Linked DNA regions of Mus musculus: regions 1, 3 and 4 are each reported to be linked to region 2. The links are microRNA targets in miRTarBase. Many come from high-throughput screens and were not tested one by one. Region 2 holds a microRNA gene; each other region holds the end of a gene's coding sequence.

Region 1 (3,837 bases), not on the chromosome of region 2:
AAAAGGGGCTTGGGGCCAAGCCTGATTGGTGGTCTGAGTTCAATCCCTGGGTGAGCTGTGGTACACACAAGCACACACCGCAAGTTGATGCTTTTTTTTTTTTTTTAAAGTAAGTTAGAGAAAAATGGATAATCAAGAGAAGGGTTAGGGTTTGGAAGTTTTTGTTGTTTTGTTTTCCGTTTTACTTTGTTTTGATTGTGAACTGAGGACGGGAGCCATGACTATATTTTGACAGAGGGAAATCGAAAACCAGCTTAGAGCATTTCGAAGGAGCCTCCATGACTGGGTGGAAGGATGCTTCTGGGCTCTGTCTCAGCCAGATCCTCAGATCCTCTCTTTGTTCCCAGCTGCTGGATTAGTTAGAACACAGCTGAGCCTGGCAGCACCTTTGGGACCCAAAGCGTGACCTGTTTTCCCAGCACCTGCTGTTTCCAGCCATGGCAGACACAGCAAGGCAGATGGCTGGGCGCAGGAGTCAGGAAGACCGAAAGGGGATAGCAAACCTTGTTGGTACCAGGGCAGAGCCCCCTACATTCTTGGGAGAGTGGCCAGTGCATAGAACATTGGGGGACAGGCAGGGGTTGAGCGCTGAGCTGTTAGCTGTCCCTGGAGAAGCTGAAGAGGAGACAATGGGAGCCTCACCTGGTCCCAGCCCAAGGTGCTCTGTGTGTGTGTGTGTGTGTGTGTGTGTGTGTGTGTGTGTGTGTGTTTAGTGTGTGGGCAGAAACAGCTGCAACCCTGAGGGGGTGCCTCAGAACACACCTGCCTAGACAGCCTTAGGTGATGAGCCGAGGCCAGCAGGCCACCAATAAAAGGCACAAACAACCCCGGTAGTCAGCAAATGTCCCCGGAAAAATGCCAACATGGGAGCCTTCAACAATCACAGCTTTATTTTTGGTTCAGAAGGGAATACATTGCTTTATTTAAAATATTGCTTATAAAAGGAACACAAGAGTGTATCACGTAAGAAATGAAGATTCCCCTGGCTTTAACCTTTGCGCCCAATCCACAGAGGCAATCGCTGTCAATTGTATGCTCTGTGCTCACCTGGGCCTTGTGTGCATAGACGCCAAAACTGCAAAACAAAACAAAACAAAACAAAACAAAGGATCCTGTATTGGCAGAGATGGTGGTAAAGATGCATAATGGCCAGAACTTGGGAATAAGAGGCAGGAGGATTGTTTTAAGGGCAGCCTGGGCTACATGAGACAGTGTCTCAAACAAAACCAACCAACCAAATGAAGCCAAGTATGGTGGTAATAAGGCCAGCCTAGGCTACATAGTGAGTCCCAGCCTCAAAACAAACAACAAAGAAACGCCCACAACTGCATGTGTAGATGGTCTGCTCACCATAAGCCATCAACACATTTTCCTTGTTTAATGAACTCAGCTGGCACCTGCCATTCTGAACTGTGAGGGGCCTGTGCACTGGTCCACACTTTTAAGACCACTACTCAGAGGCAAGGGCAGGCGGATCTCTGAGTTCAAGGCCAGTCTTGTCTTCATGGTGAGTTCTGGGACAGCCAGGGCTACACAGAGAGACCCAGTCTCAGGGAAAACAACAACAACAACAACAACAAAGAAACAGACAACATGAAAAAAAAAAAACCAAAACATACCCATCGGTGCATTTGGCATGTAATGATTGGTGATTCCGGGCCTTCCTGGCCTGATACCCAAGCAGGATTCCGGGCTAAGACCCTTCTTGACCCCTCTTGGCCCTGAGAGTCACTGAACTCAATGCCCAGTGTTCCAGCTAACCTCCTCTCTCTCCTGTGTGTCCTGCAGGTGATGGCAAGGAACTAACTGAAGACATTACTGCCACTGTCCCCCTGGAAATGCCATAGAAAAGAAATAGTAATAAAGTAATTTAAGAATCACATCCTTGAATGAGTCTGTCTTCTTACCCCGATACCCTAACCTCGGGGCCCTGAAAGCAATGCTCTTTCAGGAGGAGATTGGGGCAGTGGGACAAGCTATAATCCTGGTACCCAGGAGGCAGTGGTATGGAGATTTTGTGGTCAGCCTGGGCTACAAAGTAAGACCCTAGCTCAAAAATAAACAAACAAGGCTTGGCACATCTACCATCTAAACTCAAGTGGACTTTCACAAAGCAAAGAGTAGAGGAAACCAGAAAGAAAGAAAAATAAGTGAAAGGCAGAATCGCTTTAAAGACAGGGGAGGGCACATTTTCAAGGAAGTCCCAGCACTTCAGTACTGCCTGGTCACTGCCACCTGGGGACCAGGCTCACTTAGCAAGGAAGACAATGGGAGATTGGGAGACCCCAAACAGCAGAGCTCTGTCCTGGTGTCCCCACTAGGGTAACCAAGATCCTTCAGACAGGAGACTTGATCTGTGGGGACTCCTGACTCCTATCTCGGTCACCTGCTGGGCTCGGGCAGGGACCTTGGAAGACACAGAGAAAAACGCAGGAAAAATCATGTCTCCTTTGTAAGAAGGACAGAGTTGGGGTAGGGACAATACAGGCTAAATACAGTCCTATTGCCGAAGATTTATTGTTGAAGAATAAATAATGTTCTCAAGGAAGAATTAGCCCTTCTGGTAACTTGGAAGAGATGCAGCCCAGATCCAGGTATGCACACTGGGCCAGCTGGACTTTGAGTCTGGAAAGGAGAGATGCATAGACCCCTGTGGTTGATGACCCCCCCCCGGGTGGGGGAGCAGAGAGGAGTGCTATAATGTCCCCCAGGGCACATGTGACAATGTCTGAAGACATTTTTGGTTGGCAGATCTCAGGAGGGGTGCTCCTGGCAGCTGGCAGGTAGAGGACAGAGACAGCTTAAAACCCTCTACAATACACGAGGCAGTCCCATGACAGGATTATACAACCGCACATGTCAGTAGTACAGTGGCAGAGAAGCCCTGTTCTTGAGAGGCCTGGGAGTCCCAGGGCACAATCCCTAACCACAGATGAAGGGGCCAGGCAGCATCCATTGCACTCCGGTCTTCTTCCGACCACTGCTCCACATTGCCCTACAACCTGAAAGCTGCTAGGAGCATGTTTGCATCGCCAAAGGGAAAGAGCAGCCTGCCCCAGTTCAAAATCCTATCTTAGCAGGACAGTTATGGCCTTGGCCAGCTCCAAGCCATGAGAGCTTCGGAGAGAATAATGAGGCAGAGAGCAGCCCCGAGCCTCATGAAGTTTTAAAAAACAGCTTTTTCCGGAGGAAGTTAAAACAGCCAGGAATCTGCTTGTAAGTCCCTTTCGCAGAAACAGCATTGGCAACCTGCAAAACAGAAGAACGGGGGTATCTGTGGGTGCAGTGTCCTTAGCTGACACAATGGCTGAGGAGGGCTCCCAAGGAGAGGGCCACTGAAGGGGCCATCTGAAGGCAATGCCACCTACAACATCCTGAGGTGGATTACAGAATAAACCCATTAGCTACTGTAAAAGAAGGGAAAATTCAAGGTTTGGTTTGGTTTTGGGCTTGGTTGTTTGATTTTGAGACAGGGTTTCTCTGTGTAGCCCTGGCTGACCTGGAAGTCGCTCTGTAGACCAGGCTGGCCTCAGACTCGGAGCTCTTCCTGCTTCTGACTCCAAAGTGCTGGGATTAAAGGAGTGTACCACCACCACCTGGTCAAGTTTTCTGATACATAAATCCACAGTTCTAATTGGACTGAAAGGTTGATGGGGCAAGAAACATGGGAGACAATGACCCAAAGAGCACATGTGTCTTTCTTGGCCCTTTAAGGTCCCGTCTCAGGACCAGAAATGACCCCTATAGCCCCACAGTGTGTATCTGAGCAAAGCAGTGGAAATTCTCAGGGTCCCAATGGGGAGCAAATGCTGGGGAAGGGGAGGGGCTGCTATGCCC
Region 2 (3,837 bases):
AATTACAGCGCAGTGCTGGGCAGTGTAGGACAACTCGCGGGCCTGGTGAGGCAGGTTTGGCGGGAGTAGCATAGGAGGCCAGGGCACCGAGTACATGTTCGAAGACAGCGGGCCGCTGTAGTTGGAGCGATAAACCCGCGGGTGTCGGCGCGCAGCGCAGTACAGGGGCCACTCCGGGACCCTGCAGGCAGGAGACCGCACGGAACACGCACTCTGGCACCTGCAGGCAGATGTGTGTAAGTGGGCCGTAGTTCCGTGGATCCCGCTAGGCATGCCCCACAGGAGCGCACCCACCTGGCCGTCCCTGAAGCGCGCCTGTAGCGCGCTTCGCGGTGCCAAGAAGTCTCGAACACGAAGGTGCCGGGCATGGGTTTCCTTAAACCACACTGGGCTACCAGGCCCTACAGCTGCATTAAGGGCCTCCAGCGTCTCGCCAACCCCAAGGCGCCCGGTCGCCATGGCGACCGGAAGACTAAATGGAACAGGAAGTAAGTTATCCGTAGAGCTTCCGGGAGGTCCGCCTGGCGGGGGCGGGGATCCGGCCGTGGACTCTCCTGAATGGACCAGAGCGATCGAGCATGCCAAGTGAGCTTACATTCTACCCACGCCTCCAGCTCTCCCTCCCGATGGCCTTTCCTGTATTCATGAGCCCTAACCTCCAAATTTGAGGGTCCATTTTTCCTCCTTTTTAAAAAAATCGTCACCCCGAATTATTACTTTGATAACGGATCTTTGTTACCAGGCAAGACACTTTGCCACCAAAGTTTCACATCTTTGTGTTTATGTCTCTTTTTTCTTTTTCTGCCCCATTTAAACAAATTAAAGGCCAGACGCACGAGACGAAATGTCAAAGGAATAAGGCTGTACCATTAATGACACTTTGTTTTTCAAGACAGGGTTTCACTGTGTAGCCATGGCTGTCCTGGAACTCTTTGTAGACCAGAAAGTCCTTGAACTCAGAAATCCACCTGCCTCTGCCTCCTGAGTACTGGGATTAAAGGTGTGTGCCACCACTCGTGTCTTCCATTAAAGACTCTTTACCGCCTACTTGGAAAAGTAACGAAACAAAGCAAAATTTGAGTTCTGATTATTGGTACGCCTTTCCTCGGCTGCGGTATGGAATGTCTTTATTCCCAGTAAAAGCCCAATCGGATAGAATTGCCCATCTTGATACCCGAGGAATTAGTCATCATGATTCCAGGATTACCAGCCTTTAATGTTTTTCCTTTAAACTGGTGTTACCGGCACCTTTGGTTCTTTAGGCAACTGGTCAGTTTAAGACAAATGTGATGATGAGAAGACCCAAATAAGCAGAGCTCTCAGGTAGAGCAAGCTGCAGGTGAGCTTTTCTATGTCCAAACTCTTTCGTTTCCAAGTAACGTGAAACTCCACTTCCCCCAGTAATGAATGAATCCAACCGGTGAACTTTGCTCCGGAGAGGAGTGACATCTAGAGATAGGAAAAGTTCGGGAAGGCCGGGGCTATGAGGCCCTGTTTGGGAGGTGCCGAAAGAGCACTGGGCGGACACGACATTCCCGATGGCTTCTTGGGTGCCCACTCAACGGGAGTGATCGTGTCATTCCAAAGCACTTTCCATGCTGTGGTGTGGGTTCAGCTGCTAGCAGGGCTGGGACCCACCAGCAAGTTGGTGATTTTAGCTACTCTCCCTCCATGAAGACGGTTGGGGTGGGTTTTCCCCAGGAAGTGAAGATCTATCTTTAGCGAGCTGCGGGCTGGGCGGCCTTGTGGGACTCACCGCCATTGCGGCCCTTCAGAGAGAGGACCCAGGACCTCCCTGGTCAGAGTTCTCCAGGGATTCCAGACAGGGCCATCAGCCCGAGCTTTTTTCGTCGCCTCTGACTGCCACCATCAGTCTGGGGGTGCACCTGAGAGATGGAGATCAGAATGGCCCAGTAGTGTAGTGTTTCTGAGAATAGAGACCACATTATCTGGGCCAGGGCGCTGCTCAGGCAGGAGAGCAGGGAACGAAATCCAAGTGCAGCTGGAATGCTCTGGAGACAACAGCTGCTTTTGGGATTCCGTTGCCCGCTGTCCAGCCATTGGAGGAGGGCTCTTGCTCCCAGGTCACTCGCCCTGAGGCCAAACCGGAACCCGCCCATCCCTTCCCAGTGGGCTGAGTAGGAAGGAGTAGGTGTTTTAAACCAGTCTAGTGAGAATGAGACGCTCACCTGGGCCCCAGAACAATAGAAGGTGGGGGCATCCCCCGGGACGAGGTCCTGATCCGGATTAGATCAGAAGGGCTGGATTAGCCCTGTGAGTCCCAAGCAGGAGCCACTTGTACCGGGCAGGCTTCGGAATCCGTCAAGAGGGAAGCGATTCCGTGAGACCCGAGAGGAAGTAAACCCATGTGTCCACTTCTGGGACTCCCCAAAGCTTAGGACCTTTTGTCTGGTGACGGTGCCAGCTCATGAAGTGCCAGGGGCCAAACTGGCCCACATAGCAGCGGCAGGACAGCCTCCCCCCAAGCCCATTGCAACCGGCCCTGCAAAGAACCCCACAGCCAAGCCCCATTTGTGTCAAGCATCCCACCCGTCTAGTCCAGCGGATAGAGAACGCGACAAAGTTCCTCTGAGGCCAGGACAGAACCGGTGCGCAGAGATGCCCATGCCGCGGGACGCCAAGGACTCATGCGCCAGTAGGCCCTAGACTCAGCTCAAGACAGGGGGAGGGAGACTCTCGGTACGCGCGCGCAGAGCGCGCAAGGGCGGGGTGGTGCTCCAGGCGCGGTCTACTTCACGTCTGGTCCGGTTTGGCCCAGTCAGTCCCACTCGAACAGCTACTCCAGCACTGCCACGGCGTGCCCTTCCGCTGGCTCTAGCTGTCCCCAGACTTGGAGCCATTTTAAGGAGAAACCATCTGGCCACACCCCCTCGCGCTGCCGGGAAGCCAATCCATGCTCGGCCACGCCTCTCATGGAGCGCTGCGCCGTCGCCAACGGTCGCGCTGGTGACGGTTGGGGAAAGCAGCGATTTCGAGACTAGCTAGGGAAATTTTAGCCATCTGCCCCGCCCCCGGAGCCCGATTCTCCAAAGCCTGGGATTAAGGGCCTGGAGGCTGGCACCACACCCTGGCCAGGTGTTCATAACAGGACCAGGTGCGCAGCTGCCCCGCCCTGGTCCCTGGGAGCCCGAATAATGGCTGAGAATCCCAGGAACAGGCCGCGGCAGTGGCCTAAACAATACCCTTAGGGCGCCCGTACTAGCAGGTGTTTTTCCCCCTCCTCCTTAGGGACTGTCGCTGGAGGCATGGGGCGGGGTGGGCGACAGGTGCTGACACACCCGCATGGGGAGACAGAGGCTCTGCATTGGCCTACTGCGCCGTTCAAGGTGCGCGGTGCCCTCCGGGACGCAAGGGGCGCTGTGGCTACTTTGAGACAGACAACTCTGTCCCTACGACCGGGTCGTTAAGCGCCGTTGCAGCCATGGCTACTGCTCTAGGATTTCGCTGCCTTTTCCGAACGCGACCTGCGCCGCTCTGTCGGCACGTCGACCGGCTGTGGTGAGCATCCCCTGTCCAGCCTCTGACCACTTGGCCTCGGACCTTTCAATCCCGCATAGTCCGGCCGGGCCACGACTTCCTGACTTTAGCCCTCCGCAGGAGGAACCCGCGTCGGGGACACCGGCTTTCTCCGGCGGACGATGAGTTATACCAGCGGACTCGCATCTCACTGCTGCAAAGCGAGTTCCCTCAGGCCGTGTACATCGACAGCTACAGTAGCAGAGGCTTCACTATCTGCGGAAATCGCGTGTTTGGCCCTTGCGTGCTGCTCCCACAGACGGTGGTCCAGTGGAACGTGAGCCTTCTCCCCTACATTGA
Region 3 (3,837 bases), not on the chromosome of region 2:
TCCTTCTTTTTACATGATGGGAAACGTTCATCTATTTACAGGTTGTTATTTTTATTTATTTTTTTGTCCACACACAATCTAGGTAAATAAGCCTATGAAATTCCAATTCAGAAAGCCATAAAAATCTTCCCTACCCCATCCATCTGAAGGCTTTCAAATGAATCTTTTTTTCCCCAAACCAAATTAATTTTTAAAAATTACATTAGGGAATTCAGATATGCTGATGATTTACATTCCAGTTATTTAAAATATGCATCTAGACATGTTCTTAAAAAAAGAAATGGTAAATTCACAAGGATAGGGCTTAAATTAAAGCAGTACTTCACAGAAAAACATTAAGGGAACATCTATAAATAACAGAAATATATTACAAATAAATTAGTTCTATTTACCATTTCAAATATTAAAAATCTTTAATCCATTTCTTCATCTCTCTTTACAAAAAGGTTATGTGAATTGTATGGAAACATCTGCAAAAAATATAATAAATACTTGATTTCTTTGAATGTATTTTTGTTGTTGTTTTTGATGAGGGAGACAAACCTCTTTTGTAATTTCCCCCCCGCCCCAAGAAAATGCCCAACACCTTTATACCAAAGTTAAACAAAATAAGTAATTTTTGAGGGTACATACACTGTTCATTATGAACTAAAAAACATCTCTACAAATTACATCAAAAAGAAGAACGCAACAAAAGTTATGTTCCTGCTGTCAGTTTCCGGGTTCCAGTGGGTAACAGGCTGTATCGTGTGTGGGTCATGTCCTAATATCAATAATTCGCTTTTTTATTTTTTTTAATAAAGTGTACAGTTTAAACTGTGTTTCTCAGGAAGGCAAAGGTTCTGATGCCCTGCAGGCATTCAGCTAAGAGATTTAAAATTCTTACCAAAAATAGCTTATGAATATACAAATGCCGTTCACTTGGACAAGATAAATAGGCCTTCTCTTGTCTCTCTTTAAAATAGCCTGGGCTAAATCAGTCCCCAAGGAAAACATTGTCAGAGGATCTGGAATCCCACCAGAAACTGACCTCAGCGCTATCTCAGGGCAAGGAGCTGCAGTAATGCATGAGTGGGGCAAAGTGGGACCAGAATGGACCAGAATGAACGCTGCGTTCTGTGAATGCCACATCTTTCTTGAATCAGTGTGACCATGGGCTACCCAAGGTGAAAGTTGGCCTTACTCCCAAATACTTCTGATCTTACATTGCTGCTCCACTGTAAAGAAAACGTGTCTTTTTTTTTTTTTTAAACTAGCAAATACTTGAGTCAAATCTCTGCTCCAATTTGACACAGCGCTGACTTTGCCCTAGTTAAAAGTTGTTGGTTTTGTTTTTTAAAGTAAGTTATAGCCCTTTTCTTGTAAACCACAGCAGTAAACATTTGTGCCCTGTTGAGAAAGGAACCTCAAAGCTTCGATGGCTCTGAGAGGTAGCAAATTCTCTAGTGGTTTTAGAATATGTCTGAAAATACTGGTTGCCAGAACCCATCCCTTCTTTTAATTTCATAAAGAAAATTAAATTAGCACCTGGCTATGAGAGTGGTTTTTGTTTGTTTTGTTTCTTTTTTTTGTTTGGTTGTTTCTTTTTTTTTTTTTTTAAGCATCTCTGATACAAGCATTTTTTTTTTCTTTTAAGTCTTTCGTTTTTTTTTTTTTTTTCCTATGACAAATTTCTAATTCTTTAGGTTGCCAGCTGATCTTTTCAGATAGCCACATTCTGAATGTTTAAACTGCTGCAAGTAAAGGGCATTTGAAGACTTCAGCTGGAAGCTAGGACACACAGCCCATCAATGACGACTAAATTGCAAGCCAACAACCAGCCTGGAATCCACCCAAAGATTTGGCTTTCTATCAGCGTTTATGAATGCCGCCTGCCCTGCCGCCTCCTTGTTCTTGACCCCTGCGTCTCAAATGACTTCTCTCACTACCTGGAACTTCAGGATCACAACGACAGCTCTTGGGAATGAGGCAGCGTGTCAACTGGGGTAGAAAACCTTTTATTTTATTCATTTGACATAGAACAAAATCCTGTGCTGGGGAACAGGTGAACTCTGTATTGGAGTGAAAGGAAACCAAAGGAGAAAACGCCCCCGGGAAATGTGAACTAGACAGGTGTGGCATTCAAAGGGTGGCGGAGAACCCGAACTCTCCTCTGGCATTGTCCTTGCCGCCCCTCAGAAGCAGAAACGTTCTTCCGTGTGTGAAACCTTAAGTGGCCCCACCAGGATGGACACTAAACTGACAGAACCAACTCTTTCCCACCCTCCCATTTAAAAACCATTGCCATGACATTATAATACATAGAGTACAAGAAAAGTTGATTTAAAAAAAAAACACATTTCAGTTCTAAATTTTCTTAAGGTAAATAAATGGATTCCTTACAGAGGATCTTAACCCACCGGTATTTATTTCCCTTTTGCCTTAACTTTCTTCCTTTTATTGCCTTTCAGAATAGATTGATTTCCCTGAAAGATCGAATTTACAATCTTCTGCTGATTGAAACATTTGAAGCTTGGTTGATGAAGTACCAGTGAGGCAGTTTGTACAGCTGCGAGGGAGGGCACAGATGCAGGTACCTGCGCACTCCGCCCTTCTCTCTTACACACCCAGGCCCCCCAACCCTAGGCCAACTTGGTCCCCACTCTGTCACCTTGATTCCAATGAGATGGTGTGATTTCTGAGATTAGAAATAAAGCGCTCTCTGTTTGTAAAAAGTAACTGTTTGGGGGCAAATAAAGGGAGTTGGAGCCCTCGTTTCTTTCACATGGAAGACGGTAAGTCCCAAAGGATCACCCTATGTGATACTGGGTTTCTGAAATACCCTATGGTTTTATATTGCTGAATTCTAGGGACACACTAGCTTGAGAGAACTGAGGAGGATGTGAGTGACCTACAGGTGTCGTTTTCTACATAGGTGGGTTTGCTTGGCCCAGAAAATAAAGGGTTTGGATGTCTGCATGAGGCTTCAGGACGGGGGGAGCGAAGCTCGGTGGAGAAGATGGGCAAAGTGGTCCAGGAAGCGGGGCGGCCTGGGGACGGCTCCTGCGAGGTGGACAACTACGCCACGGCGGTGGCTGTCACTGAGCTCAGAGACGGAGGGGGCGGGGAGGTGGCCGAGGGCAGGGATGCGGGACGGTCCTCGGCGGCGTTCAGAGCCGGGTCTGCGCCTCGGGGATGTAGATCTCGATGCTCTCGGCGCTCTCGGTGGCCGAGTTCTGGCGGACCGACGCGGCGCGCTTGGCGGCCATCAGGCGCTTGCGGGCCTCCTGGCGCTGCGAGCTCTCCAGCGAGCGCTCCCGGATCAGCGGCGCGGGGCCCTTCGCCGGCTTCTTTGGCACTGGAGGAGGGGCCCTTCGCTCCTGATCAAAGCAGAAGGTTCAGGACATTACACAGATTCTCAGGACAAGCTTGGGAAAGACTGGGATAGGTCAGTAGTTTGAACACACACGCGCGCGTGCACGCACACATACACACTTCTGCTTTTTGTAAACCTAAGGATGGTTAGTTCTGATCTGCACATTGTTAATATGATTTCTCTTCTTTGTTCTGGTTTGGGTATTAAAAAGATGCAGGGAAAACGTAATATTTTACGCTTAGGGCCGAGGGTAACGCTGAATTGCGGAATTAGGTCTTTCCATGGCAGGATGTGGGCATTTAAAATGCACCCCTGCAAATGGACCCCTGATCCTCACAGTGAAGGTGGTTCTCTCAGCATCCTCCAGACTCTTCCTGGTGCTAGGGATGGACCAGGAGAGCTCAACGGCTACAGAATTATTTAGAACTCTGCATCAGGTAGGAGCTTGGGTTAAAGGCTAAAACCCTGTCCACCCTCTCTCT
Region 4 (3,697 bases), not on the chromosome of region 2:
GTTTGCTCTCAGGACTGCCTGACTTGGGGATTCCCTTTGCTGCCCAGCTGGAAAGAGCATCCCTACCACACGTGCTAGCCTAAAAGCCATCGAAGCTCTTGAGTGCAGCTCACACTACCTGCCTGTCACTTCTGTATCACAAAAGATGACCTGTAATTACAGGGTGCCATCTGCTCTCCAATAATCTGAACAAGATACACACCTCTCCTTCCTCCACCTTCTTCTGGTGCATTCTCAGGCCAGATGAATATATCTGAAAATAAAGACGGCCGGGTGGTGGTGGTTCATACCTTTAATCCCATTCCTCAGAGGCAGAGGCGGGTAGATCTGAGTTGGAGGTCATCCTGGTCTACAGAGTGAGTTACAAGTTAGCCAGGGCTACACAGAGTAACCCTGTCTCAAAAAACAGAACAGAGCAGAAAAAAAAAAAAAAAAGAAAAAGAAAAAAAGAAAAAAAAGACCACAGAGAGGAATAGAACTTGTATTGAGAACAACTCTTGTCATCGTGGTTGCATAAAAATGAGCCCAGTTTTAAATATGATCATATTTGATTTTTCTCCCTTCATACCCAGGGATTTTATCCTGCTTTTTGAATTACAGTGCCACAGGTAATGGGAGACCCGGCTCCTCTCAGAACGGAAGCATCAACAGTCTGAGAAAATGTAATTTGCATTATCTAGCACGAGCCACATGTACTGCATGTTTTGAAAACTAGAAGATAGGTTATCTGAACAGATTTTTAAACAAGTATACCATAGAAAAATAACCATTAAGAGTTATTGGTGGGCCAGCAAGATGTAGCTAAGTGGTTAAGGGTGCTTGCCGCCAAGAGTGACACCCTGAGTTCTATCTCTGGGACCAGGAGTGGAAGGAGAGAGCCAGCCCCCACTCCTGCTGTGGCTCCCCCACCCCCACCCCAAAGCTAATTGCTCAATGTTAAACCTGAAGTCTTAGGATAACCCACTTAGTTTCGCTGATTGGGAAAATCACAACATGGCTGGGGACACTTGTCCCTCATCCTCAGGGACATACCCTGTGCATCCTTATCACCAGGCTTCAGTTCCAACAAGCTCTCTATGGTCGGAGCAAGGTCATGCAAGTTTCGAGGAGCACAATGATAGGTAAGTAGTAGCTTAGGCTCTGAATTCCTCCCCTGTCACCAAAGCCAAGAACTTACTTTTTTTCATTCTCAGAGTGAGCCACCTACTAAGACCCGTAGCCCATTCGTTCTCCATTATCCCTCATCCCACATCTCTGTAGAAACTTGTAGTCTGAAGATGAGGGAATCCCAATCTTGCTCTATAAATATTTCACTCCCAACTCCTAGGAATGAAGGCAAACATATTTACCTAGCTTTTTAGTAGGCCATAAGACTTAAGTGCTCAAATAAAAACTAGGTATTGTAGCCAGCACTAATTCCTGGCTTTATTCTGTCTCTGGTCACTGGGCCCGGTCCTTAGCTCACCAGGCTGCAGATGCTCCTGGCAGCAGGAACACCGGGGGGCTGGCCGGCAGTGGCTTGGTGGGATTTACTCGGTTAATCTACAAGTGGAGGTCCCTTACCCCAGTGTCACCCAAAAGTCACCATGGCTACCCTTCTGAGCACACCTCACAAGCCCTCCCTGGCATCCGATCCTTCAGTAACCTCTCCTCAGTTTGTCAAAACTCCAAAGGGGAAAATCCCCTCATTCATACCCAGACCAATGTGCAGAAGCACAAGTCAGCGAGTTCTCCTTATGTAACTGAGGGTGCTCTTTTCCCCGCCTTTACTGAAAGGGCGCTTTGTTTTGTCAGGCAATGCTTTCCTGCTCGCTTCTATTTTTTCTGTGATTGACCCTCACTGTTATTTCTTTTATTATTATGCTTACAACTTCCATTCTAGGATATTTGCTATTTGGCCAACTTTATCTCATTTTTGTGAAAAAATGTGCTGTAAATCAGTGAAGATCAAAAGCTAAGGAGGGCAGGGGGAGAGGGCAGGGGGCCAGGGGAGAGGGTAGGGGAGAGGGCAGGAGGCCAGGGGGCCAGGGGAGAGAGCAGGGGGCCAGGGGAGAGGATAGGGGAGAGGGCAGGGGGCCAGGGGAGAGGACAGGGGAAGGAGAAAGGAGGAAGGAGCGCTATCAGGACCTCACTTGAGCCACCACATAATTTTTATAAGAAAACATTCATCTTTATTATTGAATCTAGAACCATTATTTTATGATATCATCTTTTAGCATACTCAGATGGGTTGACATTCAATGTGGACAGCAAGCTAGCTCACAAATCAACAGCAGGAGTCTCCAAGCAGCCATCGAGAGAGTGCAGCAAACTTTCCTTACTGTGGTAGGAGTTCCAGTAACCTCTGGATGTTTTTGGTAATGATAAGGAAAAGCTACTGCAGTCTAGAGACAGGTCACCTGCAGGCTTTAAAGACTGGCTGCCAGGGGCCACAATGACATAATCCAGGAGCCAAAAAACAAAAACGTAAAACAAAAAACCAAAACCAAACCAAACAAAAACACTGGAAAGGAACGGGAGATTCAAAATATTCAAAAATTATCATAGACAGATACTTGGCATACTATGATTTGACAGGTTTACAGTGACCAACGTAACAGCAAAGACAGATAGGATTATTTATACCTTTAGTATATAGAAGACAGATTTTTCAAGTCACAGTAATAAATCCTGTGACAGCTCCTGAGACAAGTCGCCTTATGCCCCGCACCCTTGCTATGCCAGTGAGAAATGGGAACACAGAAGAAAAAGTGGCTTACTCTATGAGATTCAGGAGGTCTTTGAAAAGTGACAAACTGTATGTTATTAAATGACAAAACATAGTTAGAGGCTTTATTTAAAAATCTCTCACTGTTCATTATCAAAGTTACAAGATTGTTTGCATACCAATAGACTGACTGTAAACAGGAAAGTCTCATTAAGGAAAGATGGGTTTACTGTAATTTGATCTTTTACAAAAAAATTACTGCAAGTTATTAATAACAGAATTTCTCTTTTACTTTCTTAAGTCTAATTCTATTGAAAATTCAACCAATGTTTCCATTCTCCTGCCTAAGGTTCCACCATGGTCACCTTAGGAAATACCCCACTTATTTGTTAATCAGAAATACAAACTGTGGCACATTTCCATTTTTTTTTTTTTCATTGAGCAAAGGCTTCGGCTGCATTGCATTTCACGAGAAGAGGAGGCTGCAGTGGTCCTGTGTGTCTCAGCGAAGCAGTGGTGCACACTCAGCCCTGCCCGGGCGCCCTATCTCTCATGGAATCTTCTCCTCCTTGGCTTGCAGCAGCCCGGGTTTCTGTTGCCTCCACTGAACTTGACTGAAGCAAGGGTGTCACGCCTCGTTGTCCTGACTCAAGGTGGTTCCATCTAGCGAGGAGGACACACTCTTTCAATCTGTTGGCTGGGGGACAATGCTAATATGAAGAAAGTTATCTGGGTAGCTCAGATGCTCGCTCAGCCACTGCAGAGGGGTTTCCAGCATTGGCTCTATCCCGTGAATCATCACCTGGCTCCTCTTCTCTCCATCTGTTCCAAGAAAGAGATCCAACAGTAAAAACCACAGGGAAAGAGGAAGACTTGCCTTTTCAGGGTCCTCAGTGAATTAAATGGATTTCAAACTTGTTCTATCCCCTCAACAGGAAATGAAGACAAGGAGAAAGTTTAAATGTTGCAAAATGTCTCATCCTAAACAGA

The links. The annotated mature microRNA mmu-miR-425-5p reads AAUGACACGAUCACUCCCGUUGA and lies in region 2 at 1,559-1,581, opposite strand. An mRNA with a match to its seed (bases 2 to 7 or 8) in the 3' UTR can be bound and repressed. Matches are read on the target gene's strand: a 7mer-m8 pairs with bases 2 to 8, a 7mer-A1 pairs with bases 2 to 7 and ends in A, and an 8mer does both.
Region 1: miRTarBase lists Casp9 as a target of mmu-miR-425-5p. The part of its 3' UTR that is shown has no 7-base or 8-base seed match.
Region 3: the mRNA of Dlgap1 is a reported target of mmu-miR-425-5p. Seed matches in the 3' UTR shown: 7mer-A1 at 1,662-1,668.
Region 4: the mRNA of Atg5 is a reported target of mmu-miR-425-5p. The part of its 3' UTR that is shown has no 7-base or 8-base seed match.

Annotation. Positions count from the first base shown.
Region 1 is chr4:141,813,007-141,816,843 of GRCm38, reverse strand. Casp9 (caspase 9) reads right to left here. Exons shown (of 9, transcript NM_015733.5): 9 at 866-3,249. The coding sequence ends at 3,157. Cela2a (chymotrypsin-like elastase family, member 2A) reads left to right here. Exons shown (of 8, transcript NM_007919.3): 8 at 1,789-1,890. The coding sequence ends at 1,806. Among named protein-coding and RNA genes, the nearest start is that of Cela2a, 11 kb to the left of the region's middle.
Region 2 is chr9:108,566,533-108,570,369 of GRCm38, reverse strand. Mir425 (microRNA 425) reads right to left here and starts at 1,593; the gene lies at 1,509-1,593. It overlaps Ndufaf3 (NADH:ubiquinone oxidoreductase complex assembly factor 3), which reads left to right and starts at 2,934. Exons shown (of 5, transcript NM_023247.2): 1 at 2,934-3,519; 2 at 3,619-3,814. The coding sequence starts at 3,443. It overlaps Mir191 (microRNA 191), which reads right to left and starts at 2,051; the gene lies at 1,978-2,051. It overlaps Dalrd3 (DALR anticodon binding domain containing 3), which reads right to left and starts at 478. Exons shown (of 12, transcript NM_026378.3): 1 at 295-478; 2 at 1-220. The coding sequence starts at 459.
Region 3 is chr17:70,817,547-70,821,383 of GRCm38, reverse strand. It overlaps Dlgap1 (DLG associated protein 1), which reads right to left. Exons shown (of 12, transcript NM_177639.6): 12 at 1-3,359. The coding sequence ends at 3,150. Among named protein-coding and RNA genes, the nearest start is that of Gm41609, 13 kb to the right of the region's middle.
Region 4 is chr10:44,362,748-44,366,444 of GRCm38, reverse strand. Atg5 (autophagy related 5) reads right to left here. Exons shown (of 8, transcript NM_053069.6): 8 at 2,146-3,529. The coding sequence ends at 3,393. Among named protein-coding and RNA genes, the nearest start is that of Mir1929, 4.9 kb to the right of the region's middle.